4 linked regions of the Anolis sagrei genome follow. The protein of the gene in region 4 purifies or fractionates together with the protein of the main gene of each other region. This does not show direct contact. Links are inferred from orthologs where the notes say so. Each region holds a gene or a part of one and is shown on either strand. Other genes may lie near its edges.

The links. The genes of interacting proteins can lie anywhere in the genome.
Region 1: the proteins of HNRNPC (region 4) and SMARCA4 purify together in Homo sapiens (affinity purification with western blotting; 3 studies listed by BioGRID, with this or other methods). This does not show direct contact. The link is inferred for Anolis sagrei from reciprocal best matches to the Homo sapiens genes HNRNPC and SMARCA4.
Region 2: the proteins of HNRNPC (region 4) and SNW1 purify together in Homo sapiens (affinity purification with mass spectrometry; 3 studies listed by BioGRID and IntAct, with this or other methods). This does not show direct contact. The link is inferred for Anolis sagrei from reciprocal best matches to the Homo sapiens genes HNRNPC and SNW1.
Region 3: the proteins of HNRNPC (region 4) and HNRNPD purify together in Homo sapiens (affinity purification with mass spectrometry; 3 studies listed by BioGRID and IntAct, with this or other methods). This does not show direct contact. The link is inferred for Anolis sagrei from reciprocal best matches to the Homo sapiens genes HNRNPC and HNRNPD.

The regions. Positions count from the first base shown.
Region 1 is NC_090022.1:171,359,161-171,367,181, reverse strand, and holds the start of SMARCA4 (transcription activator BRG1), read right to left. Parts: upstream 3,001-8,021; 5' UTR 2,759-3,000; intron 2,708-2,758; exon of another isoform or gene 2,548-2,707; intron 1-2,547. UniProt on the Homo sapiens protein: ATPase involved in transcriptional activation and repression of select genes by chromatin remodeling (alteration of DNA-nucleosome topology).
Region 2 is NC_090021.1:307,230,630-307,237,599, reverse strand, and holds the start of SNW1 (SNW domain-containing protein 1), read left to right. Parts: upstream 1-3,970; 5' UTR 3,971-4,061; coding exon 4,062-4,075; intron 4,076-6,970. UniProt on the Homo sapiens protein: Involved in pre-mRNA splicing as component of the spliceosome. As a component of the minor spliceosome, involved in the splicing of U12-type introns in pre-mRNAs.
Region 3 is NC_090025.1:17,072,002-17,079,633, forward strand, and holds the start of HNRNPD (heterogeneous nuclear ribonucleoprotein D0), read right to left. Parts: upstream 3,001-7,632; 5' UTR 2,787-3,000; coding exon 2,587-2,786; intron 1-2,586. UniProt on the Homo sapiens protein: Binds with high affinity to RNA molecules that contain AU-rich elements (AREs) found within the 3'-UTR of many proto-oncogenes and cytokine mRNAs.
Region 4 is NC_090026.1:11,146,088-11,153,165, reverse strand, and holds the start of HNRNPC (heterogeneous nuclear ribonucleoproteins C1/C2), read right to left. Parts: upstream 3,017-7,078; 5' UTR 2,877-3,016; intron 1-2,876. UniProt on the Homo sapiens protein: Binds pre-mRNA and nucleates the assembly of 40S hnRNP particles. Interacts with poly-U tracts in the 3'-UTR or 5'-UTR of mRNA and modulates the stability and the level of translation of bound mRNA molecules. Single HNRNPC tetramers bind 230-240 nucleotides.

The sequences.
Region 1 (8,021 bases), on a different chromosome or scaffold from region 4:
GTTCTTCCATGACTAACAGAAAATACTGGAAGGGTTTGGAAAGCAGTGTCCTTTGGTTTTGGAGTTGTAGTTCACTACATCCAGTGATCACTGTGGATTCAAACAATGATGGATCTGGATGAGTGATTGATTATCGGAACACGGAATAATGGATAACGAGTTTGGATTCTGATTTCATTGATGAGACCTGATGGATTTGTTATATTTGTTGTATTGATGTACTGATGTATTGGTGCTGATGTTTAATGATTTCTGATGCTATTGCTTTTAAATGCCCAATGATTTTGTATTGTGTATACTGAAACTGTTGTTAAGCGCTCTGAGTCGCCTAAGGGCTGAGAAGAGCGGTATACAAATAAAGTATTCAATTCAATCTGGACCAAACTCTACATGAATACTCAATATGCCCAAATGTGAACACTGGTGGAGGTAGGGGAAAATAGAATCTTGACATTTGGGAGTTGTAGTTGCTGGGATTTATAGTTCACCTACAATCACAGAGCATTCTGAACCCCACCAACGATGGAATTGAACCAAACTTGGCACACAGTTCTCCCATGACCAACAGAAAATACTGGAAAGGTTTGGTGGGCAGCGTCCTTTGGTTTTGGAGTTGTAGTTCACCTACATCCAGAGGTCACTGTGGACTCAAACAATGATGGAACTGGACCAAACTCTACATGAAGATGACAGGGCCAATTGGATTTGATGCGGATGGTTAGGACGGTTTTAAATTGTGTTATTTTAAATGGTGTATTTTAATATTTAGATAAATGTTTTTAATGTTTATGTATTGTACCCAGGCATTGAATGTTTGCCATGTATATGTTGTGCTCCGCTCTGAGTCCCCTTCGGGGCGAGAAGGGCAGAATATAAATGTTTTAAATAAATAATAAATGAATACTCAGTATGCCCAAATGTGAACACTGGTGGAGTTTGGGGAAAATAGAATCTTGACATTTGGGAGCTGTAGATGCTGGGATTTATAGTTCACCTACAATCAAAGAGCATTCTGAACTCCACCAACAATAGAATTGGGCCACAGAACCCTGATGTGGGCCACAGCAACGCATGGCAGGGGATGGCTAGTTATTATTATATTTTTAATCATAGTGTTGTCAAAATATGTCAATGTTCACATTCGGAATATTATATTTTCTTTTTTAAAAATCCAAATAATAATGATGTTGATGATGGATGAGTATATATTTCAGAGGCTCAAATCTATATAAATAAAAATGTAATGTTCGTTTGTGGTATCCACAGAACACAAAAACCACTGGGGCAATTGGCACCAAATTTGGACACAATACACCTAACAACCCAATGTATGTTCTCCACTCAAAAAAATTTATTTTGTCATTTGGGAGTTGTAGTTGCTGGGATTTGTAGTTCACCTACAATCAAAGGGCATTCTGAACACCATCGATGATGGAATTGAACCAAACTTGGCACACAGTTCTCCCATGACCAACAGAAAATACTGGAAGAATTTGACGGCCATTGACCTTCAGTTTTGGCTTTGTAGTTCACCTACATCCAGAGAGCACTCAAGCAATGATGGATCTGGACCAAACTCTACACGAATACTCCATATACCCAAATGTGAACACTGGTGGAGTTTGGGGAAAATAGAATCTTGACATTTGGGAGTTGTAGTTGCTGGGATTTATAGTTCACCTACAATCGCAGAGCATTCTGAACCCCACCAACAATGGAATTGAACCAAACTTGGCACACAGTTCTCCCATGACCAACAGAAAACGCTGGAAGAGTTTGATGGCCATTGACCTTCAGTTTTGGCTTTGTAGTTCACCTACATCCAGAGAGCACTCAAGCAATGATGGATCTGGACCAAACTTGGCACAGATACTCAATATGCCCAAATGTGAACACTGGTGGAGTTTGGGGAAAATAGAATCTTGACATTCGGGAGTTGTAGTTGCTGGGATTTATAGTTCACCTACAATCGCAGAGCATTCTGAACCCCACCAACAATGGAATTGAACCAAACTTGGCACACAGTTCTCCCATGACCAACAGAAAACGCTGGAAGAGTTTGATGGCCATTGACCTTCAGTTTTGGCTTTGTAGTTCACCTACATCCAGAGAGCACTCAAGCAATAATGGATCTGGACCAAACTTGGCACAGATACTCAATATGCCCAAATGGGAACACTGGTGGAGTTTGGGGAAAATAGAATCTTGACATTTGGGAGTTGTAGTTGCTGGGATTTATAGTTCACCTACAATCGCAGAGCATTCTGAACCCCACCAACGATAGAATTGGGCCACAGAACCCTGATGTGGGCCACAGCAACGCGTGGCAGGGGACGGCTAGTTATTATTATATTTTTAATCATAGTGTTGTCAAAATATGTCAATGTTCACATTCACAATATTATAATAATAATGATGTTGATGATGGATGAGTTGATTATATATTTCAGAGGCTGAAATAAGAGCAATAAAAAGGGGAGAAAAGAGGAGGGGGAGGATGGGAATAGGAAGACACGGGTACAGGCATTCACACGTTCACCCTCTTACCATCCAAGGTGAGATTCCGGCTAAGGATGCTCTGCTTCCTTCCAATTCTCCCCGCCCCCTCCTCCTCCTCCTCTTCAGGTGGGATGCTCCCACCCGCGATGCCCTCTCCCAGGTCCGTCCACACGGGCTTGCACTCATTCATTCAGCGAGCCATCCCCGCGCATGCGCAATCCACCCTCCCCATCCCCTCCCGCGGCGCCCTTTCGCTTACCGGGCGGCCCAGGAGTTCCAGCGCGGGCGGGGACGGCGAACAAAGAAGAAGGTGACTGCCTGCGTCTCTCAAAGAGATGCTCTCTCCTCCTCCTCCTCCCCCGCCCTTCGCCTGCGCGCCTCCTGCTGGGCTCGCGTGGGCGCGCTCCCCACAGGCTTTCTTTCTTCCTTTCTTTCTTTTGCGCGTTCCTTAACCGGCTCAACGAGGCTCCCTCTCGACGCACCAATCAGAGCGGATTTCACAACCCTCACTCAGGGTGTTACGCCCGCCTCCTTCGCTTAGACTCAGACTCCGAGCGCCAGCCAATCAGAAAAGATGGGCGGGAAGTCTAGAGAATGAGGCTTTCTCTTAACAGCCAATAGCGACACGCTTTACATTTCTACACCGGCCTTTGCTATTTCTCTGCCCATAAGTGACGCGGCCTGTTATGCTTCTTTGAATGCAAATATGTCTCTCCTCCTCTTTTGTCTCTGCCTCAGCCAATGACGTAGAGAAAGGGGCGGGCTTCCCAGTCGTACGGGGGCGCGCCTCGCGAGGCAAAGGAGCGCGCTTTGGCAGCGCGAGGGCTGTGCCCATCCCCCCAACCAGCCGGCCGCGGCGTCGGTGCGCATGCGCATTGCGGCCACCACTGCGGCTGAGGAGAATATTGGGGGAAGGGGGATTTGCGAGGCAGGCAACGAGCTCTGAAGGGAGGATTTTACCTCTCTATTGAAACATTCACACCCAGCTCCAGCAGAGAAGAGCTCTTTGCCCCACCACAGTCATTCCACAGATATATAAACCCATTTTCCTAGAAAGAAAATGTTTCAAAAAGTGTTCTGAAATTAGATTAAAGGACAATGGTGACACCAAAGTAAATCCCTTTAAAAGACATTAGGAAGAATCATAGAATCAAAGAGTTGGAAGAGACCTCATGGGCCATCCAGTCCAACCCCCTGCCAAGAAGCAGGAACATCGCATTCAAATAACCCCCGACAGATGGCCATCCAGCCTCTGTTTAAAAAGAAGGGTTGACTCTTGTACTTCGTCCCACCCTGGTCTTTCTGGAGATATATAAACCCTTTTTCCTAGTTCCAACAGACCTCACTACCTCTGAGGATGCTTGCCATAGATGCAGGCGAAATGTCAGGAGAGAATGCCTCTAGAACATGGCCATATAGCCCGAAAAAACCTACAACAACCCAGTGATTCCAGCCATGAAAGCCTTTGACAAGACATTGACACCTCTCTGTGTTCATGTTTTGTTTAAACAGCCCGAAAAACCTACAACAACCCATGTTTTTATTTCTTGGCAAAATAAGAATTAGGCCCATCTCAAAACGTGCAGAAATGGGAATCCTTTCCGTGAAACCAGACTGCTCAGGAAAGGAACATTTTAGGGGCCTCTCTGAGGCGATGTGCACATTTTTGAGAGGTTTATTTTTCCCTCAGGGAAATGACTTAGAGAAGACAATGATTCTGGGGGAAATGGAAGGAAAAAGGAAGAGGGGCCGACCAAGGGCAAGATGGAAGGATGGCATCCTTGAAGTGACTGGCTTGACCTTGAAGGAGCTGGGGGTGGTGACGGCCGACAGGGAGCTCTGGCATGGGCTGGTCCATGAGGTCACGAAGAGTCGGAAGCGACTGAACGAATGAACAACAACAAGGAAATGACATATCATATATCATATAACAGAAATATCACACAGGAAGGCACAAAACTGAGGAAAAGATGCAGCCACTCAAGGACGAGGCCCACCAAAGTTACCTTGACTGTATTTTAATGTGTATGATCAGGGGCGTCTCAACCCATTACGCAAAGTAAGCATTTGCAGTATAGTTGATTTTGCCCAGGGGCACTCTTGAAGCACTCTTGGGGAAAAACAGACCTTGACATATGCGAGTTGTAGTTACTGGGATGTATAGTTCACCTACAATCAAAGAGCATTCTGAACTCCACCAATGATGGAATTGAACCAATTATGGCACACAGAAGTCCCACGATGAACAGAAAATATATATCAGTGATTGGTTGGGGGGGGGGGATACTGTTTGCTTACCATTGAAAAGTACCTAGGGCCGCCTCTGTGTATGATCCACCAAGAAAATCCAAAAAATGCTACGTTCAGCAAAGGACAAGAGGGATCATACAAATATACATCAAGGGAACCACTGACCGCATAGGGAAGCTGATGAGGAAACACAACATACAAAGTATCTACAAACCCACCAAGAAAATCCAACAAATGCTACGTTCAGCAAAGGACAAGAGGGATCCTCTCACTTCTGCAGGAGTCTACCGGGTACCATGCAGCTGTGTACAAGTCTACATAGGGACCTTACTTCACTTTCACTTAGGCGATCCCTCGCTTTCCGAGGATGATTGTCTTCCAATATTCTTGTGGGTCCGTATGTGGCTGTGGAGCCCTATTCTTGCTCTGCATCTTCTTCTTCTTCATTGGTTTCCAGGTAGAAGGCGGTCTCGGCCGGGGTTGGCTTGACGCGCCTTCCTCTTGGCACGTTTCTCTTTTTCACCCTCCACTCGTGCCTCCTCAAATTCTGCAGCACTGCTGGTCACAGCTGACCTCCAGCTGGAGTGGTCAAGGGCCAGGGCTTCCCAGTTCTCAGTGTCTATGCCAGAGATTTTAAGGTTGGCTTTGAGCCCATCTTTAAATCTCTTTTCCTGCCCACCCACATTCCGTTTTCCGTTCTTGAGTTCGGAGTAGAGCAACTGCTTTGGGAGACGGTGGTCAGGCATCCGGACAACATGGCCGGTCCAGCGGAGCTGATGGTGGAGGACCATCGCTTCAATGCTGGTGGTCTTTGCTTCTTCCAGCACGCTGACATTTGTCAGCTTGTCTTCCCAAGAGATTTGCAGGATTTTTCGGAGGCAGCGCTGATGGAATCGTTCCAGGAGTTGCATGTGACGTCTGTAGACAGTCCACGTCTCACAGGCATAGAGCAGGGTTGGGAGGACAATAGCTTTATAAACAATCACCTTGGTATCCCTACGGATGTCCCGGTCCTCGAACACTCTCTGCTTCATTCGGAAAAATGCTGCGCTTGCAGAGCTCAGGCGACGTATTTCGGTGTCGATGTTGACTTTGGTGGAGAGGTGGCTGCCAAGGTAGCGGAAATGATCAACATTTTCTAGTGTTACACCATTAAGCTGTATCACTGGCATTGGAGAGGGGTTGGCTGGTGCCTGCTGGAAAAGCACCTTGGTTTTTTCAATGTTCAATGACAAGCCGAGCTTCTCGTATGCTTCTGCAAAGGTGTTTAGAGTGGCTTGTAGATCTTATTCTGAATGCGCACAGACGACGTTGTCATCAGCATACTGGAGTTCTATAAGAGATGTTGTTGTGACCTTGGTTTTGGCTTTCAGTCTGCTGAGGTTGAATAGCTTGCCATCTGTCCGATAGATGATTTCCACTCCAATGGGAAGCTTCCCGTCAACAAGGTGAAGTATCATAGTGATGAAGATGGAGAATAGAGTTGGGGCAATAACACATCCCTGTTTGACACCCGATTCCACCTTAAATGGGTCACTTTGGGAGCCACTGCTGTCCAAAACTGTTGCCATCATGTCATCATGGAGGAGCCGCAGGATGTTCACAAATTTGTTTGGGCACCCGATTTTTTGGAGGATGGTCCAGAGAGCGCTGCGATTCACTGTGTCGAATGCCTTTGCAAGGTCGATGAATGCCATGTACAGAGGTTGATTTTGTTCTCTGCATTTGGGACCACCAAATGCAGCATTGCCCAAACACGAATCAAGGAACAGGAAAGGCACTGCAGACTACTTCAACCAGAGAAATCAGCCACCTGATGAACCAACCTGGACACAGCATATTATCTGAGAACACAGAAATACTGGACCACTCCAACAACCACAATGTCAGACTACACAGAGAAGCCATTGAAATACACAAGCATGTGGACAATTTCAACAGAAAGGAAGAAACCATGAAAATGAACAAAATCTGCCTACCAGTATTAAAAACTCTAAAATTACAACAGCACAACAACAGAGAGTAAACAATCAGGAAACAAGCAGGCATATCTAATCACCTCTCAACAAAAGTTTGCTCCAGGCACAGTCAGCCCATTGTATGCTAATCAAGGTGGTCAGTTGAAACATTCACACCTTGGTTGTGTATTGTTATGTTGTGTTTTGAGAGCTTGTCCTTTATAAGCCGCATCGAGTCCTTCGGGAGATGCTAGCGGGGTACAAATAAAGTTAATAATAATAATAATAGCTCCAGCAGGAAAGAGTCCTTTGTCTCACCCTGGTCATTCCACAGATATATAAACCCTTTTTCCTAGTTCCAACAAACCTCACTACCTCTGAGGATGCTTGCCATAGATGCAGGCGAAACGTCAGGAGAGAATGCCTCTAGACCATGGCCATACAGCCCGGAAAAATACCTACAACAACCCTTTGTTTTATCCATCTTTTCACTGTACTGGCAGTCCCGGAGTTATGGGGGGCTCCAATTCAGACTCCACATCAGGCTCCAATTCAGGAGCACAAGGCCCCACTTCCAAAGGATCCCCCTCCTCCTCAGACCAGGCCTCAACACGCCCTGAGTTATACGAGCCACGCAGTCTACCCGTCCATCGCTCACACCACCACTCCACACTGGATCTGCAGCTCATAGTGTGAAGGACCTCCATGTCTCCATGTTTTTCTTTCAGAACTGAACGAGTGTTGCATAGCTTTCAATGCAAATAAGTTTTTATTTTGTTTTCAAAAAAATCAGAAAACATTAACTCAAACTATTAAAAAGGGGAGAAAAAAAAACATCACAGAACCTACAGCTGAGGGGGGAAATGAAGGGGCCTGAGACCAGGAATTGTGGGAGCTGAAGTCCAAAACACCTGGAGGTGTTTGCCTATGCCTGTGCTATGGCATATTGAAAGAAAACCATATTTTTCTTATTGATGATATCATTTGCCAGCCCAACAAAACTATTTCTGGTGACGATGGTATATTCTGTTGCAAAATTATTTGGATTGTTTCTTTAACAGTTGTCTAATATACGTGGTTTTTATGACAAGACCACCATATATACCTTCTTTTCTCTTACATTTCCAACATTTATTATTTGTTCTTTTGTTTTTATTTATCTTGGCAAGTTTTAGAAACAAATTTTGGAGTGTGGCTAAGGGGAACTGTGCATAAGAAAAAAACCTGGCATCCTTAGACCGATGCCCAGAAGGGACCTGGAGTCCTTTATGAAGTCTGGTGTTGCCTTCTGACCCATCACTGCTCAGAGGGCCA
Region 2 (6,970 bases), on a different chromosome or scaffold from region 4:
TTATATTCAAGACCTGTTATCAAGTATCAACATTCTCAATAAGCTGTGATATTTCCAAAATCTTCTCTGCCACCACTGTCAATAATCAAGGATAAATGGGCTCATTAGGAACAATGGAAGTGTTGATGACAAGGGAAAACATTTGCAGGTGCGAAAGCCGAAGCTTCCTGTACAGCTGGCTTCTAACTCAGGCCTCCCTATCACTAGAAAGAAAAATAATGACAAACATCACCATTCCAGGAAGATAGAGCTGATTTCTTTTCTAAAGCCACACTGGTGTAATTACGATAATGATAAACAGATTCTGAAAAAGTTTAAATATATTCTCTAGAAGAAAACACCACGAAAAAGAGAATTTTACTGAGCAGTAACACTGTCAATGGAGATACACTAGTTCTAGGGCAGTGGCTCTCAACCTGGGGTCCCCAGATGTTTTTGGCCTTCAACTCCCAGAAATCCTAAAATCTGTCAAACAGGCTGGGATTTCTGGGGGTTGTAGGACAAAAACATCTAGGGACCCCAGGTTGAGAACCACTGTTCTAGGGACTAATAAGCCTGTTATGCACATCCCTGCCTTGGGAAAAGGTTCACGGTCCAGTTTCCTAGTGAAAAGATATTCTGGAAAATTATGCAAATTTTCTACAACCAGTTTATTTGTAAGCAATTACAGTGAACAAAATATGTAGTAACACAGAGATCAGCATTCGCTTAATTTCCTAAATGTGCCTTTATGTACAATATTCATTACAAAATTTTATAAAGTCTTTATATATAAAATCTCAGCCTGCAGATGTTTGAGCTCGCAAAACTCAAAAAGTAGTCGGCCGATTGACTTGACATTTCGACACAAGGTTACATTCCAATACGCACGTGTTTTTAGAGTAAAATGAAATTTTGACACAATGTTGCATTTGAATACACACGTGTATTTAGAGTAAAACAAGTAGTCCGGGAGTAGACAAAGGAATCTGTGATGCCCAAATCAACCACTCACAGCCTAACTTTTATTTTACCTCAGCAGTATAAGAAATGAAATCTAAGCTCTAGCAACCAATTGCTGTACAGCTTTCCTTTTGCCTCAGCAGTAAAAGAAATAACCTATCACAAAACAGCTTTCATTTTACCTCAGCAGAAGAAATAATCACAGACCAGCTTTCCTTTTATCTCAGCAATATAAGAAAAATAGTTGTCGAGGCCCACTTTGGAATCTTGGCCTTTGGAAGCTGAGCTGTCCGCTGTAATTAGTACTGAACTGGCTTTTAAATTTTAAATATGTACGATTGTTATATAGTACTATGTTTATACTTTTTATAATGCCCTTCTGTATGTTTTTATGTTGGTAATTGCAATGCTTTACCATGATGGAAACCGCCCTGAGTCCCCTTGGGGAGATAGAGCGGTATACAAATAAAGGTTTATTATTATTATTTGATAAAATAACATATTTGGTTTACTCACAACATTCATGTGTTCAGCATACATAGCGATAAAACTTATCAGTCCAGTTTCAGATATGTCTGAGATGGTTCCCTGTGCCAGTCAACCAGGGCATCTCTCTTGTAACAAAAATAACTGTCAACAGGTCACATAGTAGTCAAAAAGGAGAGGAAGAGAGCCTGTGGTCTGCAGCCCCTCTTATAACTTCTCAGGAACCATAGAGTAAAGGAAGCTGCATACCAGAGCATACATACAGGAAACAGGAAACAACAGGATCATTGATAAACATTACTAGAGAAGGCTTGAAGAAAACTGTCATTTCCAACAAAAGGAAGGACAAAAGATGGGAGAAGAAATGGGGAAAGGGATGGAAGAAAGAAAAAAAAGGAAAGAAAAAAAGGGAAAAGGAACAAAAGAAGTGAGGGAAGGGGAGAAAAAGAAAGGCAGAGTACAGAAAAAGAAGAGGAGGTAGATATTTTAAGGAAAAGCATGGGAAGAAGGAAAGAAACAAAGAAATACTGTGTATTAAGGAAAGGAAGAAAAGAGCCACAAAAGAAAATGCAAACTCAGGCAGTGCCATGTATATACCCTAGGTAAAGGTAAAGGTTTTCCCCTGACATTAGGTCTAGTTATGTCCAACTCTGAGGGGTGGTGCTCATCTCCATTTCTAAGCCGAAGAGCCAGTGTTGTCCATAGACACCTCCAGGGTCATGTGGCTGGCATGACTGTATGGAGTGCCGTTACCTTCCAGTCGAAGTGGTACCTATTGATCTACGCATATTTGCATGTTTTCGAACTATTAGATTGGCAGAAGCTGGAGCTAACAGTGGGAGCTCACCCTGCTCCTCGAATTTGAACTTAATTTTTGATCAGCAGGTTCAGCAGCTCAGCAGTTTAACCTGCTTTGCCACTGAGGGCTCCTATTTATCTAATCGTGTGTGTGTGTGTCTGTGTATGGATGTTGGCTAGTTGGTTTGTACCACAAAGGCTCCTACATGGCTTGATAGATTTGGACCAAACGTGGCACACATACCCTGCACTATCCAACTTAAATTAATTGAAGGGGTTTTGAACTGAAAAAGCCACCCTTTTTTGCTAGGTTGGCAGAAGCTGGGGCTAACAGCAAGAGCTCACACCACTTCCTGGATTCGAACCTACGACCATTCGGTTAACAAGTTCAGCAGCTCAGCGGTTTAACCCACCAGTGGTTCTTTGAGTTGTGTATAAAATTACCTTTAAGATACGTATATAAGGTGCAAATGAAACAAAACAAGAATGATTGACAACTGGAAAATAGAGGGAGAAAATGTGGAGGCCGTGACAGACTTTGTATTTCTAGGCGCAAAGATTATTGCAGATACAGACTGTGGCCAGGAAATCAGAAGACGCTTACTTCTTGGGAGGAGAGCAATGTCCAGTTTCGATAAAATAATAAAGAGTAGAGACATCAGACTGGCAACAAAGATCCGCATAGTCAAAGCCATGGTATTCCCTGTAGTAACCTACGGATGTGAGAGCTGGACCTTGGGGAGGGCTGAGCGAAGGAGGATCAATGCTTTTGAACTGTGGTGTTGGAGGAGAGTTCTGAGAGTGCCTTGGACTGCGAGAAGATCCAACCAATCAATCCTCCAGGAAATAAAGCTTGACTGCTCATTGGAGGGAAGGATATTAGAGACAAAGTTGAAGTACTTTGGCCACATCATGAGGAGACAGCAAAGCCTAGAGAAGACAATTATGCTGGGGAAAGTGGAAAGTAAAAGGAAGAGGGGCCAACCAAGGGCAAGATGGATGGATCCTTGAAGTGACTGGACTGACCTTGAAGGAGCTGGGGGTGGTGACGGCCGACAGGGAGCTCTGGCGTGGGCTGGTCCATGAGGTCACGAAGAGTCGGAGATGACTGAACGACTGAACAACAAATCTGCAGAGTCCCTGAAACTTGGAACTATAACAAACATTAAATGGAAAGCAAACAAAATTGGAGCTCCTGGTGCAGTTGTACCTGCACAATAAGAGATACACAATCTATACTGCAGAGAATGTAAAATACAAGCGTCTCAACCAGGCCTGGGCAAACTTGGGCCTTCCAGGCGTTTTGGACTTCAACTCCCACAATTCCTAACAACCAGGCCCGGGCAAACTTGGGCCTTCCTTGAGGGCCTGAGGCTGTTAGGAATTGTGGGAGTTGAAGTCCAAAACGTCTGGAAGGCCCAAGTTTGCCCAGGCCTGGTCTAAGCAATCCTTTGGGCCCATCTACTTGTTTCCATCTGTTGGCAACATCCATTCTCATTACTGTCATAGTAATCCATATCTTCCATACTCCAAAATGGTCCTTATAAAGGCTTTCTTTCCTTGCTGATCATTTAAATCTTGCCACTTGAGTCTGAATGTTTGGCTAATAAGTTCCACTCTGTACCAAACTGAGTGTTGAATCCAGTTGTTGTTCTGCTCCTTCAAGCCACCACATCCCGCTCTGAGGGCGGCGCATGCGCAAACATGTCGCGAGCGTTCCTCTCCGCCTGTAACACTACAATTCCCAGCATGCCCCTGGCTTCCGGGCCAGTTCCGTCGAGGCTTCTCGTTCAGCGCCCGGCCCTCAAAGGTGGAGGAAGAAGGAGAGCGGCAAGATGGCGCTGACCAGGTGAGTTTTGTCGCTGCGAAGCGGGAGCTTATCAGAAATTGGAAGCCGATAGCCACCCCGTTCCCTGAGCCTTTTACGGGAAAGTCTCTGGTTGTAATTGATTTCCGTGGAGTGTGAGCGGGTTTCGGTGGAGGGGAAAAGCCTCGAGGGAGGCCTAGGCCGCAACGGGCATTCTCCCCTAAAAGTCGGTATTAATAGTATTCTAGTGGGCGGCCTTTCATTATTTCAGACCGCTTCCTAAAGTGAAAAATTGTCTTGTTTGCGTGGGAGGCTGGCCCTCCAGAAACAAAGAAGGGAAGGCCTTGGTGTTCAGTAAAGATAGGCAGGGGGCCATTGTGAAATTGTAACCTGAAATGGTTCCAGTTGTAACCTGAAGTGGGGTTGGGTTGGCATGGGCAAACTTTGCCCCCCCCCCCATGTTTTAGACTTCAACTCCCATAATTCCTAACAGCTGTCCAGAACACCTGGAGGGCGGAAGTTAGCCCATGCCTTGCTTGGCCTCTTTGGCCCCTTCCACACCACCCCACTTTCCTCCTCCTGGAGGTGCTGGAGGAAAGTGCTGAGAGTGCCTTGGACTGCGAGAAGATCCAATCAGTCCATCCTCCAGGAAATAAAGCCCGAATGCTCATTGGAGGGAAGGATACTAGAGACAAAGTTGAAGTACTTTGGCCACATCATGAGGAGACAGGAAAGCCTAGAGAAGACAATTATGCTGGGGAAAGTGGAAGGCAAAAGGAAGAGGGGCTGACCAAGGACAAGATGGATGGATGGCATCCTTGAAGTGACTGGACTGACCTTGAAGGAGCTGGGGGTGGTGACGGCCGACAGGGAGCTCTGGCGTAGGCTGGTCCATGAGGTCACGAAGAGTTGGAGACGACTGAACGAATGAACAACAACACACCACCCCAATATTGCAGGATCTGATCCTAGATTATCTTGCAGTGGAGACTCATATAACCCAGTTTAAAGCAGATAATCTAGGATCAGAAAAGGTATTTTGCCTGACTTATTATTATTATTAACTTTATTTGTACCCCGCTAACATCTCCCGAAGGACTCGGTGCGGCTTACAAAGGCCAAGGCCCTCAATAAAACAACAGCATAACAAATGCAACAATAAAACTCATAAAGCAAACCAATAAACATTAAAGCAATAACAGTAAAACATCAAACAATACATCATGACACAATTAAAACTAGGGCCGGGCCAAATGTAATGAATAAATTAAAAGTGCTGGACATGACAGGTGAAATGTAAGGATTTTAGGTTAGGTGCGATGTACAGGCAATCATCTCTGGTAAAGTGTGCTTGGGACATGATGCTGGGAGTTTTCTATTCTGGAAAGGCACACTGGAACAGCCAGGTCTTCAAGCTCTTCCTAAAGACTGCCAACGTTGGGGCTTGTCTGATGTCCTTGGGGAGAGAGTTCCAGAGTCGGGGGGGGGGGCTACCACAGAGAAGGCCCTGTCCCTCGTCCCCACCAAACGTGCTTGCGACGCAGGTGGAATCGTGAGCAGGGCCTCTCCAGATGAACGGAGGGATCGTGTGGGTTCATATATGGAGATGCGGTCACGCAGGTAGGCGGGTCCCAAACCTTTTAGGGCTTTGTAGGTGAGCACCTGCACCTTGAATTGGGACCAGGAAATGAACAGCAGCCAATGGAGCTCCTTAAACAGGACTTCCAGATATACAGGAAAAATGGATGAGCAGAAAGCGCTCTCTTCAGGCTGGTTTTTCAGGGCCATGTACTGTCCTTATGGACATGACCTGTGACTATTACTAGCACCTACACTCATAGATTCATGTGGGTAACACACCCTACAGAAAAAGTGGTTCCCTTGGGATCTAGGCGCAGTGTGGAAGGGGCCTCTGAGGGCCACAATATGAATGCTTTCGTCCAGTGTGTCTTGTAGTTCTACAAGATTTTCTTCGCCTTTGCCTCATCAAACAACACATCGCACAATTTCTTTTGTTAACATTGACCCATGGCAACAAAAGTGGTGTCAAACTGCATTATTCCCACAGCGTGGAGCAGGCATGGGCAAACTTTGGTCTTCCAGGTGTTTTGGACTTCAACTCTCACAATTTCTAACAGCCTAGAGTGTTAGGATTTGTGGGACTTGAAGTCCAAAACACCTGGAGGGGTGAAGTTCACCCATGCCTGCTTTATGGTGTTCATTGATGAGAACTGAAGTTCAAAACACCTCAAGGGCCAAAGTTATCCCATGTCTGGTGTAGAGGCATCCTAAGAAGGCAGTTGACTTCTGGGATTTGCAATTTGGCACAGATAGCTGAAAATACAACTCCCAGGATTCCTTAGCACTGAGCTGTGGGAGCTAAAGTGGTGCCAAAGTGCATCAGTTCTCCAGTGTAGATGCCCCCTTGGAAACTCATTGTCAGTTCTTTCTTGTCCTCATCTTTAGAGAGGACAGTTGTCTCACTTTCTCTTCAAGGTGCCAAAACTATTGCTGGCTTGTGGCATCCCTAAGGTGATCCAAGCAAGGGTGTTTTTGACTAGATTTGTTCAGATGGGATTTGCCTTTGACTTCCTCAAAGGTTGAGAGAGGGGCTTAACCAAGGTCAGCCAGTGTGCTGCCATGGATGTGTAGGGATTCAAACCCAGGTCTCCAGAGTCGCAGTCTAAAGGTAAAAAGATTACGTCAGAAATACAGTCCTAAGATGTGGAACTTATCTCCCTGTTCAATACCAGCTCTGCAGTAATGGTTTCAAGGGAGCCACTTTTTCTGTAGGGTGTGTTACCCACAAGAATCTATGAGTGTAGACGCTAGTAATAGTCACAGGTCATGTCCATAAGGACAGTACATGGCCCTGAAAAACCAGTCTGAAGAGAGCACTTTCTGCTCATCCATTTTTTCCTGTATATCTAGAAGTCA
Region 3 (7,632 bases), on a different chromosome or scaffold from region 4:
TTTTCTTCTCTAGGTACACTATTACATGCATACATACACACATACACACACACATATATGCACACACATTGAAGTATTAAGGGAAACCTAACCTAAAATAAAACTGTAACACTATTGGGGGATGGGGGAGGGGATGTAAAATCAATAGACACAAGTGGGAGATAAAGGTGGATTAGGCATGGGTAAGAACACTAAGAAAATGATATTTTATATGTATTCTGAAATGGTGATAAATTGTGATATTTTTCTACCTGCATGCAATAAAAAAAGTATTTTTAAAAAACTGTAACATTATTATATATGTATTTTATTTTTTTACTTTAAGTATTACAGTATGAATAATTTCCAACAATGGAATTAGTAATTAAAATATTAAGGCAAACTGAACTTACGGTAAAACTGCAACACTGTTATACATGTTTGTTTTTTTTACTTAAAAGTATTACAGTTTTGGGAAGAAATTGGGACAGTGGAATATGCTGCTGCCTGGGCGGGTGGTGAAATCTCCTTGCCTTGATATTCTATCTCATAGATAGATAGATAGATAAATACAAACTTAATTGAAATATTAAGGCAAACTTAACCTACAATAAAACTGTAACACTATTTTATATATATTTACGACATTTATATGCCACCCTTCTCACCCGGAAGGGGACTCAGAACGGCTTACAAGATATATATTTATACAATATATTATATTATTAGCATAGTACAATATCAGTATTAAATATTACTATGTTGTACTATACCATTATATTGTAATATTAGTAGCATTACATGTAATATAAATATATAATTATAGTATCATATAACTATTAGTATTATATTTCATTACATTATATTATAAATATATCTATATATAAGGTATTATATTACATTATATAATATTGTTAGTAATATTAAATTTAATATAAATATATAAATATAATACCATATTACTATTAGTATTATATTGCATTACATTATATTATAAATATTATATGTATATACAATATATTAATTATATAATATTGTCAGTAATATTAAATTTAATATAAATATACTATTATAATATCATATTACTATTAGTCTTATATTGCATTACAATATATTATAAATATTATAGGTATATACAAGATATATTAATTATATAATATTGTTAGTAATATTATATTACATTATTAGCATAGTACAATATCAGTATTAAATATTACTACATTGTACTATACCATTATATTGTAATATTACAATATAATTATATTGTAATATAAATATAATTTTATTATATATTACTATTGGTATTATATTGCATTACATTATTATATTAAAAATATATGTATATACATTACATTATTAACATAGTACAATATCAGTATAACATCTTACTATATTGTACTATACCATTATATTGTAGTATTAGTAATATTACATGTAATATAAATAAAATTTTATTATATATTACTATTAGTATTATATTGCATTACATTATAATATAAATATATGCATATACAATATATTATTTATTTATTTATTATTTACGACATTTATATGCTGCCCTTCTCATCCCGAAGGGGACTTAGAGCGGCTTACAAGGTATATATACATACAATATATTATTAACATAGTACAATATCAGTTTTAAATATTGCTATATTGCACTATATCAATTATACTGTAATATGATTAGTAATATCACATGTAATATAAATTTATAATTATGATATATTACTATGAGTATTATATTGCATTACATTATGTTATAAATATTATATGTATATACAATATATTATATTACATTATATAATATTAGTAAAAATTTACATTGTATATAAAATTACATGTATATACAATACATTATATTACATTACATATATATTATTTTATTAGCATGGTACAATATCAGTATTTTAATTTTTTACTTCGAGTATTACAGTCTGAGGAAGACCTGTGGGGGGAGGGGCCTCTCTCTCTCTCTCTCTGGGAGTTTTCAAAGCAGAAACTGGATGGCCATCTGTCGGGGGGGGGGGGGGGCTTTGATTGAGACTTTCTGCATGGCGGAAGGGAATGGGGAAGGGGGACTCAAAAATTTATTATTTGCTTTTAAGTTTATTGTGTATTATGTATGTTGTGTTGTTGGCGGCCTTGGACTTTGTGAGCCGCATCGAGTCCTTCGGGAGATTTTGCGGGGTATAAATAATGTTAATAATAATAATAATAATAATAATAATAATGGCCATCTGTCGGGGGGGGGGCTTTGATTGTGACTTCCTGCATGGCGGAAGGGAATGGGGAAGCGGGGGGAGGGGTGGGGCCTCTCTCTCTCTGGGAGTTTTCAAAGCAGAAACTGGATGGCCATCTGTCGGGGGGGCTTTGATTGTGACTTCCTGCATGGCGGAAGAGAATGGGGAAGCGGGGGGAGGGGTGGGGCCTCTCTCTCTCTGGGAGTTTTCAAAGCAGAAACTGGATAGCCATCTGTCGGGGGGGCTTTGATTGTGACTTCCTGCATGGCGGAAGGGAATGGGGGGAGGGGGACACACAGCACACACCACACACGCGTCGCGCACCCCCGTTTCCCAGGCCCGGTTCGGTTCGGTTGAAACATACCCAACGTACCCTTCATCCTCCTCATTCTTGCTGGCGTCGATTTTGGCGCCTTCGGATTCGCCGCCGCCCCCTCCGCCGCCGCCGCCTTCCGCGCCGTCCTCTTCGTCGTTCCCTCCGACCGCGACTCCCTCCAGCTGCTCAGCCTCCTCGTCAAAGGCCTCGGCAGCGCCTGCGTCGCCCATGAAGTCTTGGTCCGACATGTTGGGAGTTGAGGAGAAAGCGGGAGTCGGCAAAACGGGGAGGAAAGCCGGCTCAAACTGAAGCAGCCTCGCTCTCCTCTCTTTCTCTTCCTTTCTTTCTCTCTCTCACGCCTTCTCTCTTTCTCTCTCTGTCTCTCTCTTGCGCTTTAATGGCGCCGCCTCGCTGATCCCAACCTAAAATGGCGGACGGAAGGAATGCGGCGGCGGTGGTGGTGGCGTCGCGGTCACGTGCCCGGCGCCCTACTTACTGTCCCTCTCCCGCTCGCTGATTGGAGAACAAGGGAAAGCGCGCCCTGACGCGGTCTCCGATTGGTCGGGGGGAAGCGCGCGCTGGCCCGCTCCCTGATTGGCTAAGAGAAAGCGCGCCCTGACCCGCTCTCTGATTGGCCGAGGGGAAGAAACGGGGAGCAAGGAAAGATGACGCCTGTCTCGCGTGTTGGCCAAACATGGCGGCTTTCCCACTGATTTCTTGTGGGTTTTTTCGGGCTATATGGCCATGTTCTAGAGGCATTTCTCCTGACGTTTCGCCTGCATCTATGGCAGGCATCCTCAGAGGGTGAGGTCTGGAGCTGGGAAAAAAGGGGGGTTTATATATCTGTGGAAAGACCAGGGTGAGACAAAAGGCTACTGTAAGATGGGCTAGGTGTGAATCTTTTCAATTGACCACCTTGATTAGCATACAATGGGCTGACTGTGCCTGGAGCAAACTCTTAATGAAAGGTGATTAGATGTCCCTGCCTGTTTTTCTCTCTGCTGTTTTAATTTTAGAATTTTTTAATACTGGTAGCCAGACTTTGTTCATTTTCATGGTTTCTTCCTTTCTGTTGAAATTGTCCACATGTTTGTGGATTTCAATGGCTTCTCTGTGTAGCCTGACATGGTGGTTGTGAGAGTGGTCCAGCATTTTTGTGTTCTCAAATAGAATGCTGTGTCCAGGTTGGTTCATCAGGTGCTCTGCTATGGCTGATTTCTCTGGTTGGAGTAGTCTGCAGTGCCTTTCATGTTCCTTGATGCGTGTCTGGGCGCTGCGTTTGGTGGTCCCTATGTAGACTTGTCCACAGCTGCATGGTACACGGTAGACTCCTGCAGAGGTGAGAGGATCCCTCTTGTCCTTTGCTGAACGTAGCATTTGTTGAATTTTCTTGGTGGGTTTGTAGATTGTTTGTATGTTGTGTTTCCTCATCAGCTTCCCTATCCGGTCAGTGGTTCCCTTGATGTATGGCAGGGACACTTTTCCTCTGGGTGGATCTTCATCTTTATTCTTGTGGCTTGTTCTTGGTCTTGCAGCTCTTCTGATGTCTGAGGTGGAGTATCCATTGGCCTGTAGAGCCCAGTTGAGGTGGTTCAGTTCACCTTGGAGGAGGTGGGGTTCACAGATTCTTTTTGCACGGTCTGCCAAGGCTTTGATGGTGCTTCTTTTTTGACTTGGGTGATGGTTGGAGTTTTTATGTAGATATCTGTCTGTGTGTGTGGGTTTTCTGTAGACGGTGTGACCCAATTGTTGATCTGGTTTGCGGATGACTAGGACATCTAGAAAAGGCAGTCTTCCTTCCTTTTCTATTTCCATAGTGAACTGGATGTTAGGGTGGATGCTGTTAAGATGTTCCAGGAACCTGTTGAGTTCTTCTTCTCCATGGCTCCAAATGGTGAAAGTGTCATCCACATATCTGAACCATATAGTGGGCTTTTTGGTTGCTGTTTCAAGAGCTTGTTTTTCAAATTGTTCCATGTAGAAGTTAGCTATGACTGGGCTGAGAGGGCTCCCCATAGCTACTCCATCTTTCTGTTCGTAGAATTCATTGTCCCACTGAAAATAGCTGGTGGTGAGGCAATGGTGAAACAGCGCCGTGATGTCTTCTGGGAACCTCTGGAAATGTATTGTCGAAGCCTTCGACAATACATTTCCCACTGATTCTAGGCAAGGCCTGGGCCAACTTGGGCCCTCCCTCCAGGCTCTTTGGACTTCAACTCCCACAATTCATAGAATCAAAGAGTTGGAAGAAACCTCATGGGCCATCCAGTCCAACCCCATTCCGCCAAGAAGCAGGAATGTTGCATTCAAATCACCCCTGACAGATGGCCATCCAGCCTCTATTTAAAAGCTTCCAAAGAAGGAGCCTCCACCACACTCTGGGGCAGAGAGTTCCACTGCTGAACGGTTCTCACAGTCAGGAAGTTCTTCCTCGTGTTCAGATGGAATATCCTTTCTTGTAGTTTGAAGCCATTGTTCCGCGTCCTAGTCTCCAAGGAAGCAGAAAACAAGCTTGCTCCCTCCTCCTCCTCCCTGTGGCTTTCTCTCACATATTTATACATTCCTAATAGCCATAGTTTTAACTCCAAAACATGTGGAGGGCCCATGTTGGCCCAGGCATGGGCTAGAAACTATGGGGTTTTTTGTTTTTGTTTTTGTTTTTTTGTCGTGCCAGGAGCGACCTGAGAAACTGCAGGTCGCTTCTGGTGTGAGAGAATTGGCCATCTGCAAGGACATTGTCCAGGGGACGCCCGGATGATTTTTTGATGGGTTGTTGTAGGTTTTTCCGGGCTGTATGGCCATGTTCTAGATGCATTTTCTCCTCTTATATGGCCATGTTTTAGAGGCATTTTCTCCTCTTATATGGCCATGTTCTAGAGGCATTTTCTCCTCTTATATGGCCATGTTCTAGAGGCATTTTCTCCTCTTATATGGCCATGTTCTAGAGGCATTTTCTCCTCTTATATGGCCATGTTCTAGAGGCATTTTCTCCTCTTATATGGCCATGTTCTAGAGGCATTTTCTCCTCTTATATGGCCATGTTCTAGAGGCATTTTCTCCTCTTATATGGCCATGTTCTAGAGGCATTTTCTCTTATATGGCCATGTTCTAGAGGCATTTCTCCTCATATGGCCATGTTCTAGAGGCATTTCTCCTCTTATATGGCCATGTTCTAGAGGCATTTCTCCTCTTATGGCCATGTTCTAGAGGCATTTTTTGATGTTTTATCATCCTTGTGGCCGAAAGCGAGGAGGAGCTGAGGAGCCTTCTAATCAAGGTGAAAGAAGAAAGCACAAAAGCGGGGTTGCAGCTAAACATAAAAAAAAACCAAGATTATGGCAACAAGAATGATTGACAACAGGAAAATAGAGGGAGAAAATGTGGAGGCCGTGACAGACTTTGTATTTCTAGGCGCAAAGATTACTGCAGGTGCAGACTGTGGCCAGGAAATCAGAAGACGCTTACTTCTTGGGAGGAGAGCAGTGTCCACTCTCGATAAAATAGTAAAGAGTAGAGACATCAGACTGGCAACAAAGATCCGCCTAGTCAAAGCCATGGTATTCCCTGTAGTCACCTACAGATGTGAGAGCTGGACCTTATGGAAGGCTGAGCGAAGGAAGATCGATGCTTTTGAGCTGTGGTGTTGGAGGAAAGTGCTGAGAGTGCCTTGGACTGCGAGAAGATCCAACCAGTCCATCCTCCAGGAAATAAAGCCCGACTGCTCACTGGAGGGAAGGAGACTAGAGACAAAGTTGAAGTACTTTGGCCACATCATGAGGAGACAGCAAAGCCTAGAGAAGACAATTATGCTGGGGAAAGTGGAAGGCGAAAGGAAGAGGGGCCGACCAAGGACAAGATGGATGGATGGCATCCTTGAAGTGACTGGACTGACCTTGAAGGAGCTGGAGGTGGTGACGGCCGACAGGGAGCTCTGACGTGGGCTGGTCCATGAGGTCACGAAGAGTCGGAGACGACTGAACGAATGAACAACAAAAACATCCTTGTGGGAGGCTTCTCTCATATCCTCGCATGAGGAGCTAGAGCTGATAGCTCATCCGCCTCTCCCTGGATTCGAACCTGCAACCTGCCAACACAGGGGTTTAACCCACTGCGCTCCTATGATGAAAGACTGTTGGTGTCTCAGCAAAATATACCAAGCATCCCGAGCTCTGAGGATTACCAGGGAAGGAATCCCACTGGAGCATTGCAGCACACCAAAATATCTGGGAGTCACTCTGGACCGTGGATCCCCCGGTGGCGCAATTGGTTAAACCCCTGTGCCGGCAGGACTGAAGATCGACAGGTCACAGATTCGAATCCGGGGAGAGGCGGATGAGTCCCTTCTATCAGCTCCAGCTCCTCATGTGGGGACATGAGAGAAGCCTCCCACAAGGATGGTAAAATATCAAATCATCAGAGTGTTCCCTGGGCAACGTCCTTGCAGACGGCCAATTCTCTCACACCAGAAGCAACTTGCAGTTTCTCAGGTTGCTCCTGACACGAAAAAAAAAAACCTGTGGACCGTGCTCTGACCTACAAGAAGCACTGCCTGAATATCAAGCAAAAAGTGGGTGCTAGAAATAATATCATACGAAAGCTGACTGGCACAACCTGGGGATCACAACCAGACACAGTGAAAACATCTGCCCTTGTGCTATGCTACTCTGCTGCTGAGTATGCATGCCCAGTGTGGAACACATCTCACCACACTAAAACAGTAGGTGTGTCTCTTAATGAGACATGCCGCATTATCACGGGATCTCTGCGCCCTACACTACTGGAGAAATTATACTGCTTAGCCAGCATTGCACCACCTGACATCTGCCGGGAAGTAGCAGCCAATAGTGAAAGGACCAAGGCAGAGACATCTCCAGCTCATCCCTTATTTGGGTATCAGCCAGCACATCAACGACTTAAATCAAGAAATGGTTTTCTAAGATCTACAGAGACACTCGCTGGAACACCTCAGCAAGCAAGAGTCCAAAACTGGCAGTCTCAAACCCAACACCTCAACCAATGGCTGATATCAAATGAGAGACTCCCCCCTGAGCACACAGAGGACTGGGTGACTTGGAAGGCGCTGAACAGACTGCG
Region 4 (7,078 bases):
AGATCACTCAAGATTACATAAAGGAACAAGAAGAATAATGGATCATACCAAATCTTGGAACTAGTTCTTTGCTTTTCTTTAAAGGCTGGGTATCCTATACCCAAGATGTTAAGACCTAGAAACATTTCAGATTCGATATACATTGACAATGGAACACAAACCCAAAGTTCTCTTCTGTAGCATAAACACCTTATAGCTTGAAGGTAATTTTATACGCAACATCCTTAAATATTTTTATCCATCAAACAAAGTGTTTATCCAGTGAACAATCCGAAAGCAAACATGGCACTATTTCAGTCATCAACATGGACCATTTTTGAGTATTTCAAAATTTCAAATAAAGGATGCTCAAACTGTATTAAGGAATGTGATGGAGAGGGAGAAAAAGCTACACAGTGGCATTTTTTAACTCTTAGGAGATTTATTATTGCGTAATCATTCCTGGTCCATCCTCTTGAATCTTACTGCAACTGATATCAGCTTGCACTGAATTTAGTGAGGATTACTTTCACGCAAATTTAGGCAGGATGCACTGGGCTTAAAGGTCCTATCAGGCATTTTATTTATTGCTGCAACAACCTAGCAGGACTATGTGACACAAATATATTCACCCAAGAATAAGGATACTTCTAATTTCTGAACAGCATCTGACCACTTCAAGATCTTTATTACTTGGGAACAAATCATCCTCAAATTGCCTGTTGATTTATGCATGAAAAGAGATTCCATCGGAACATTAGGGAGAACTTCCTTACTAGTGTCTAGATCTAGGGAAGTCATACTACCCATGCTCTATTCTGCCTTGGTTAGACCACACCTGGAATATTGTGTCCAATTCTGGGCCCCACACTTGAAGCTGTGTCCAGAGAAGGGCGACTAAAATGATCAAGGGTCTGGAGAACAAGCCCTATAAGGAGCGGCTTAAAGAGCTGGGCATGTTTAGCCTGCAGAAGCAAAAGCTGAGAGGAGATATGATAGCCATGTATAAATACGTGAGAGGAAGCCACAGGGAGGAGGGAGCAAGCTTGTTTTTTATTTCCCTGGAGACTAGGACACGGAACAATGGCTTCAAACTACAAGAGAGGAGATTCCATCTGAACACTAGGAAGAATTTCCTGACTGTGAGAGCCATTCAGCAGTGGAACTCTCTGCCCCAGAGTGAGGTGGGGGCTCCTTCTTTGGAAGCTTTTAAACAGAGGCTGGATGGCCATCTGTCAGGGGTGTTCTGAATGCAATATTCCTGTTTCTTTGCAGGGGGTTGGACTGGATGGCCTATGAGATCTCTTCCAACTCTGTGATTCTATGACTGTGTGAGCCATTCAGCAGTGGAACTCTCTGCCCCGGAGTGTGGTGGAGGCTCCTTCTTTGGAAGCTTTTAAAACAGAGGCTGGATGGCCATCTGTCGGGGGTGCTTTGAATACAATTTTCCTGCTTTTTGGCAGGGAGTTGGACTGGAAGCCACAACTCTATGATTCTAGGCCATCAAATACTAATCAAGGTGGCCAATTGAAACACTCACACCTAGCTCCAACAAACAAGAGTTCTTTCTCCCACCCTGGATATTCCACAGATATATATACCCAATTTTCCTAGTTTCTAACAAACTTCACAATCTCTGAGGATGCTTGCTACAGATGTAGGCGAAACGTTAGGAGAGAATGCTTCTAGAACAGAGGCTGGATGGCCATCTGTCGGGGGTGCTTTGAATGCAATATTCCTGCTTCTTGGCAGGGGGTTGGACTGGATGGCCCATGAGGTCTCTTCCAACTCTATGATTCTATGTCTGTGAGAGCCGTTCAGCAGTGGAACTCTCTGCCCCGGAGTGTGGTGGAGGCTCCTTCTTTGGAAGCTTTTAAACTGAGGCTGGATGGCCATCTGTCGGGGGTGCTTTGAATGCAATATTCCTGCTTCTAGGCAGGGAGTTGGACTGGAAGCCCTAACTCTATGATTCTAGGCCATCAAATGCTAATCAAGGTGGCCAACTGAAACACTCACACCTAGCTCCAACAGACAAGAGTTCTTTCTCCCACCCTGGGTCTTCCACAGATATATATACCCAATTTTCCTAGTTTCTAACAAACTTCACAATCTCTGAGGATGCTTGCTACAGATGTAGGCGAAACGTCAGGAGAGAATGCTTCTAGAACAGAGGCTGGATGGCCATCTGTTGGGGGTGCTTTGAATGCAATTTTCCTGCTTCTTGGCAGAATGGGGTTGGACTGGATGGCCCATGATATCTCTTCCAACTCTATGATTATATACTCTGCCAAATCCAATCCCGCAGAAACACTATGCCTGTGTTAGTGTCATAATCCGGATTAAGATACTGCATAGGATGTGGTATAAACACCTTTGGGCCTCCTTTGCGCTCAGAGTAATGAACAGTGATGCCATTTCTTTCCTAATCCAATTGAAAACACCAATCTCTCATCCACCTCCAGCTCAAAGCGAAGAAGGATCCATTTTCTTTCATTCCCACCCGCCCTCCCTTTCCCGCACTATGGTATCTCCCAGAAGCCATTGGAACGAATGAGAATGGAACGTACCATTTGTACAGAGCGGGGGTGCAACGTTCGAAACCTCTTATTCTCCTCCAGCTCAAATCGAAGAAGGATCCATTTTCTTTCATTCCCACCCGCTCCCCCTTTTCCCGCGCTATGGTATCTCCCAGAAGCCATTGGAACGAATGAGAACGGAACGTACCATTTGTACAGAGTAGGGGTGCAACGTTGGAACATTCGAAAGGGGGGGAGCTGACATGGGGCATACCAAGTTGGTGCTGAAAGGGGGGGGGGGCGGGTTAGAAAGGGCGATACCATTCTTAGCCTCCAGGCCCCGCCCCCCTCCGCGCTTCTTTTCCCGAGCCACGAACTCACCGACTCGAAGCCGCCGCCGCTTTATTTGGTAATATACAGCTTTCAGTCTTTCGCACCAGGTACGTTTCCCACATCCACGCTTCGGATGGTTCACAAAATGGCGTCCCCGCCGCCCTCCACCTCTGCGCCGCGCAGCATAGCCACGCCCTCTTTTTCACGTTTCGCCTCCTCACGTTGGCGTTTCCCACCACCTCATTGGTCGCTTTCGCTGTCAATCAAACCGACGGCCAATCATATCCGCGCCGATGGTGAAGTAAACGGGGACAGTGCGAATAACAATCAGGAGGAATCCGGAGAGATTTGCAAAGCGAAAGGCGGGTCCTTAGAATCCAATAGGCTAAGAGTTCTGTCGGAAAGGCGGGTCCTTAGAATCCAATAGGCTAAGAGTTCTGTCGCTCAAAAGAGCTCTCATTCCGATTGGATAATTTGGTTGTCACTTTCGCAATAATGCCTTGCAATGATTGCCCTCATCTGCCGCCTATTTTCTCCCCGCCTATGTCCTAATAGTCCCTCTTGATTGGTTAAAATACTAACCAATAGTATCAGCGTAAAGGTTTACCATTTTTTTAAAAGGCAGCTTGACGTACATCCGGGTCCCTTGGGGCAAGCCTCTATTTCCTTTGGGCACTGGGCGAATGACGTCATCGAAGCTTCAGCTCGTGATTGGACAGCTGGTAGAGCTCAAGTTTGAAAAACACACACACACTAGAGAGGTGTAGTTTTACAAGGTCTTTAGCATTTACAAGGTCTTTAGCCTTTCTTTTATACTCATGGTTTAAAAAAAATGCTTTTGTGCTTTGTAAATACTTAATAAAGATATATCTATATAAATAAAAATGTAATGTTAGTTTGTGCTACCATCAGAACTCAAAAACCACTGGGGGAATTGACACCAAATTTGGACACAAGACACCTAACAGTCCAATTTATGTCCTCCACTCAGAAAAAAAATGATTTTGTCATTTGGGAATTGTCGTTGCTGGGATTTATAGTTTACCTACAATCAAACAGTATTCTGAACTCCACCAATGATGGAATTGGGCCAAACTTAGCACACAGGGCTCCCATGACCAACAGAAAAAAACTGGAAGGGTTTGGTGGACATTGACCTTGAGTTTGGGAATTGTAGTTCACCCACATCCAGAGAGCACTGTGGACTCAAACAATGATGGATCTGGACCAAACTTGGCACGAATATTCCATATGCCCAAATATGAACACAGATGGAATTTAAGGGAAATAGACCTTGACATTTGGGAGTTGTAGTTGCTGGGATTTATAGTTCACCTACAATTAAAGAGCATTCTGAACTCCACCAACGATGGAATTGAACCAAACATGGCATACCAGACTTCCATGACCAACAGAACACACTGGAAGGGTGTGGTGGGCATTGACCTTGAGTTTGGGAGTTGTAGTTCACCTACATCCAGAGAGCACTGTGGACTCAAACAATGATGGATCTGGACCAAACTTAACACAAAAATTCCATATGCCTAAATATGAACACAGATGGAGTTTGAAGGAAATAGACCTTGACATTTGGGATTTGTAGTTACTGGGATTTATAGTTCACTACAATTAAAGAGCATTCTGAAACCCACAAACAACAGAAATGGGGCAAACTTCCCACACAGAACCCCCATGACCAACAGAAAATACTTAAGGCCATCCAGTCCAACTCTCTTCACCAGGGCAAGAAAATGTAATCCGAGCCCTCCCGACAAAGAGCCATCCAGTCATAAATATAGATAGATAGATATGATTTTCTCTCACACACACACAGATATAGTATCACAGATTTGAAAGAGACCCTTAAAGAAGGACAATGATATGTTGCATATTCCAGAGTAGGCAAACCAGACACTCTCCACATCAACACTGACAAAGAAACAACAAGAAATACTGTTTACTCACAAACATAAAAGAATTACATATATTAGAAACCAACACTTTCTCATTACTTTATTTTCCAGATCAACAGACTGGGCCACAGCAACGCATGGCAGGGGACAGCTAGTATATGTATGTATGTATTAAAGATGCCATTATATTGTTGGTTGCATTCGGTGAAAAGACACAGCCATGCCAGCATTATCTGCATTATCAAACTACAATTCCCAGGATCTCATAGCATTGGAGCCATGGCAGTTAAAGTGATGCCAAACTGTATTAATTCTACAATGTAGATGCACCCTGTGACTATTGCATTTCACAGCTGTTTGGAGTTTTGAACTCAGGCCTTCCTGATACATTTGACCAAAAAAGCCCTTCACCTGAAATTTGAAAGCTGGTCATTTATGAATTAATTGAAATCATTTATGAATTAATCCAACAGTTTATAAAAATAATAATACAAAACAAATAATACACAATGAATACAATAAAAACTAAGCCCTTATATTGTACATTTTTTATCATGTTAGGAGCGAACCAAAACAGTTGTATTGCAAACAAAACACAAAGTTTGCAGGCTTGGTATTCTATTAATTATTCTTTGACTAGTATCTGGCCACTTGGAGTGCCTCTGGTGTTGCTGCAAGAAGGTCCTCCATTGTGCATGTGGCGGGGGTCAGGTTGCATTTCAGGTCTGTAGTTTGTTCTTCTCCACACTTGCATGTCGTGGATGCCACTTTGTGGCCCCATTTCTGAAGGTTGGCTCTGCATCTCGTGAACAGATTATCTGTTCAGCGCCTTGTATTGTAACATGTATCTACATGTTTCCCTGTACAAACATGCACATATCACTGTATATGTATACACAAACAGATTGACACCTGATGAATGGATTTTCTTCTACTGTACATGTACAGCGTCGCCCTTAATGCTTTCATACAGTGGCTGCATACGGCAGGGACACGGCCACTGCCATTTTTGAGTTCCCCCCAAATTATGCAGCAACCACAGATTCTCCAATCCGGATTGGAAATTTCAGCACCCACTCTATAAGACTACTCCCAGCGTATAAGACTACTCCCACATATAAGACAACTCCCACATATACTATTCCCACGTATAAGATGACTCCTGCGTATAAGACGACCCTTGACTTTTGAGATTTTCTTGGGTTAAAAAGTAGTCTTATACGCCAGAATATACGGTAGATTATATGGCAGTTTCTATTCAGCCTAAATCTTATATGGTCCTTGGCTGGATCTACACCGCCATATAACCCAGTATCTGATTATACATTTTGAACTCGATTATATGAAACTACACTGCCATATAATCCAGTTCAAAGTAGATTATCTGGAATCGGATACTGGATTATATGGCAGTGTAGATGGGGCCCTCCAGGTAACAGAATAGTGAAAATGACTGTTATACAAGAGTGGAAAGGCTTGCTGGAAACAGCAGGGTTTGGTAGAAGATTATCAGATTCAATAATAGGAGAAAACCAATAATCAAAATCAATAGAATGCTGGGAGTAATACAGGTTGACATCCCTGACCTGCATATCCCAAATCTTAAATGTTCTGTTATTGAAAGCCAGGACAACCAAAACCCATGACTCTGAGGGTACCCAGAAACTTTCCCCTACTTTCAGGTGGCATCCGAATGAATTTGTCAAAGTTAGACAAGCAGGTACACATAAACCCTAGGGAAAGTCTCACCATTTAGCTCGAGAATCTCATAATGGATTTAAGAAGACTCACAGGGATTTTCCAAAATAGTATGCATCTGTGAAATCTTTCCAATTCTAATCGCCAGATCACATCCCCTCCCTGGGGACCCCATTGAGGCTGTGCCAACACCCCTGGCACCCATTATATCGCCAACCAAAACCCATTGTCCTGTTCCAGATGGACATGAACAGAGCTATCAGCTCCATTAACACCAACCCAGCCCCCATTTCTTTCCTCCCGTACCCCTTTCCTTGGTGGCGTAAAAACCAGCCAGCAGTTTTCAAATCAAACAATGAGACTTTATTAAATTTCATGTCAATTATTTATTTATTGACTTCATTTCTATCCCACCTTTCTCAACCTGGGAGCAGACTCAAGGCGACTTATAAATCCAGCAAAAATTCAGTGCCACACAGATAAACAATAAAACACATCTCATAAAAATATAAGCAATCTAAACATATAAGCAATTAAAACATGTAACAATCTATTAAACAGACTAAAATGCCGAGTCATAATCTCATATCCAGTCAACAGCAGACGGCATCAAGTTTCCAGAAACCAGTAAGCTTATCC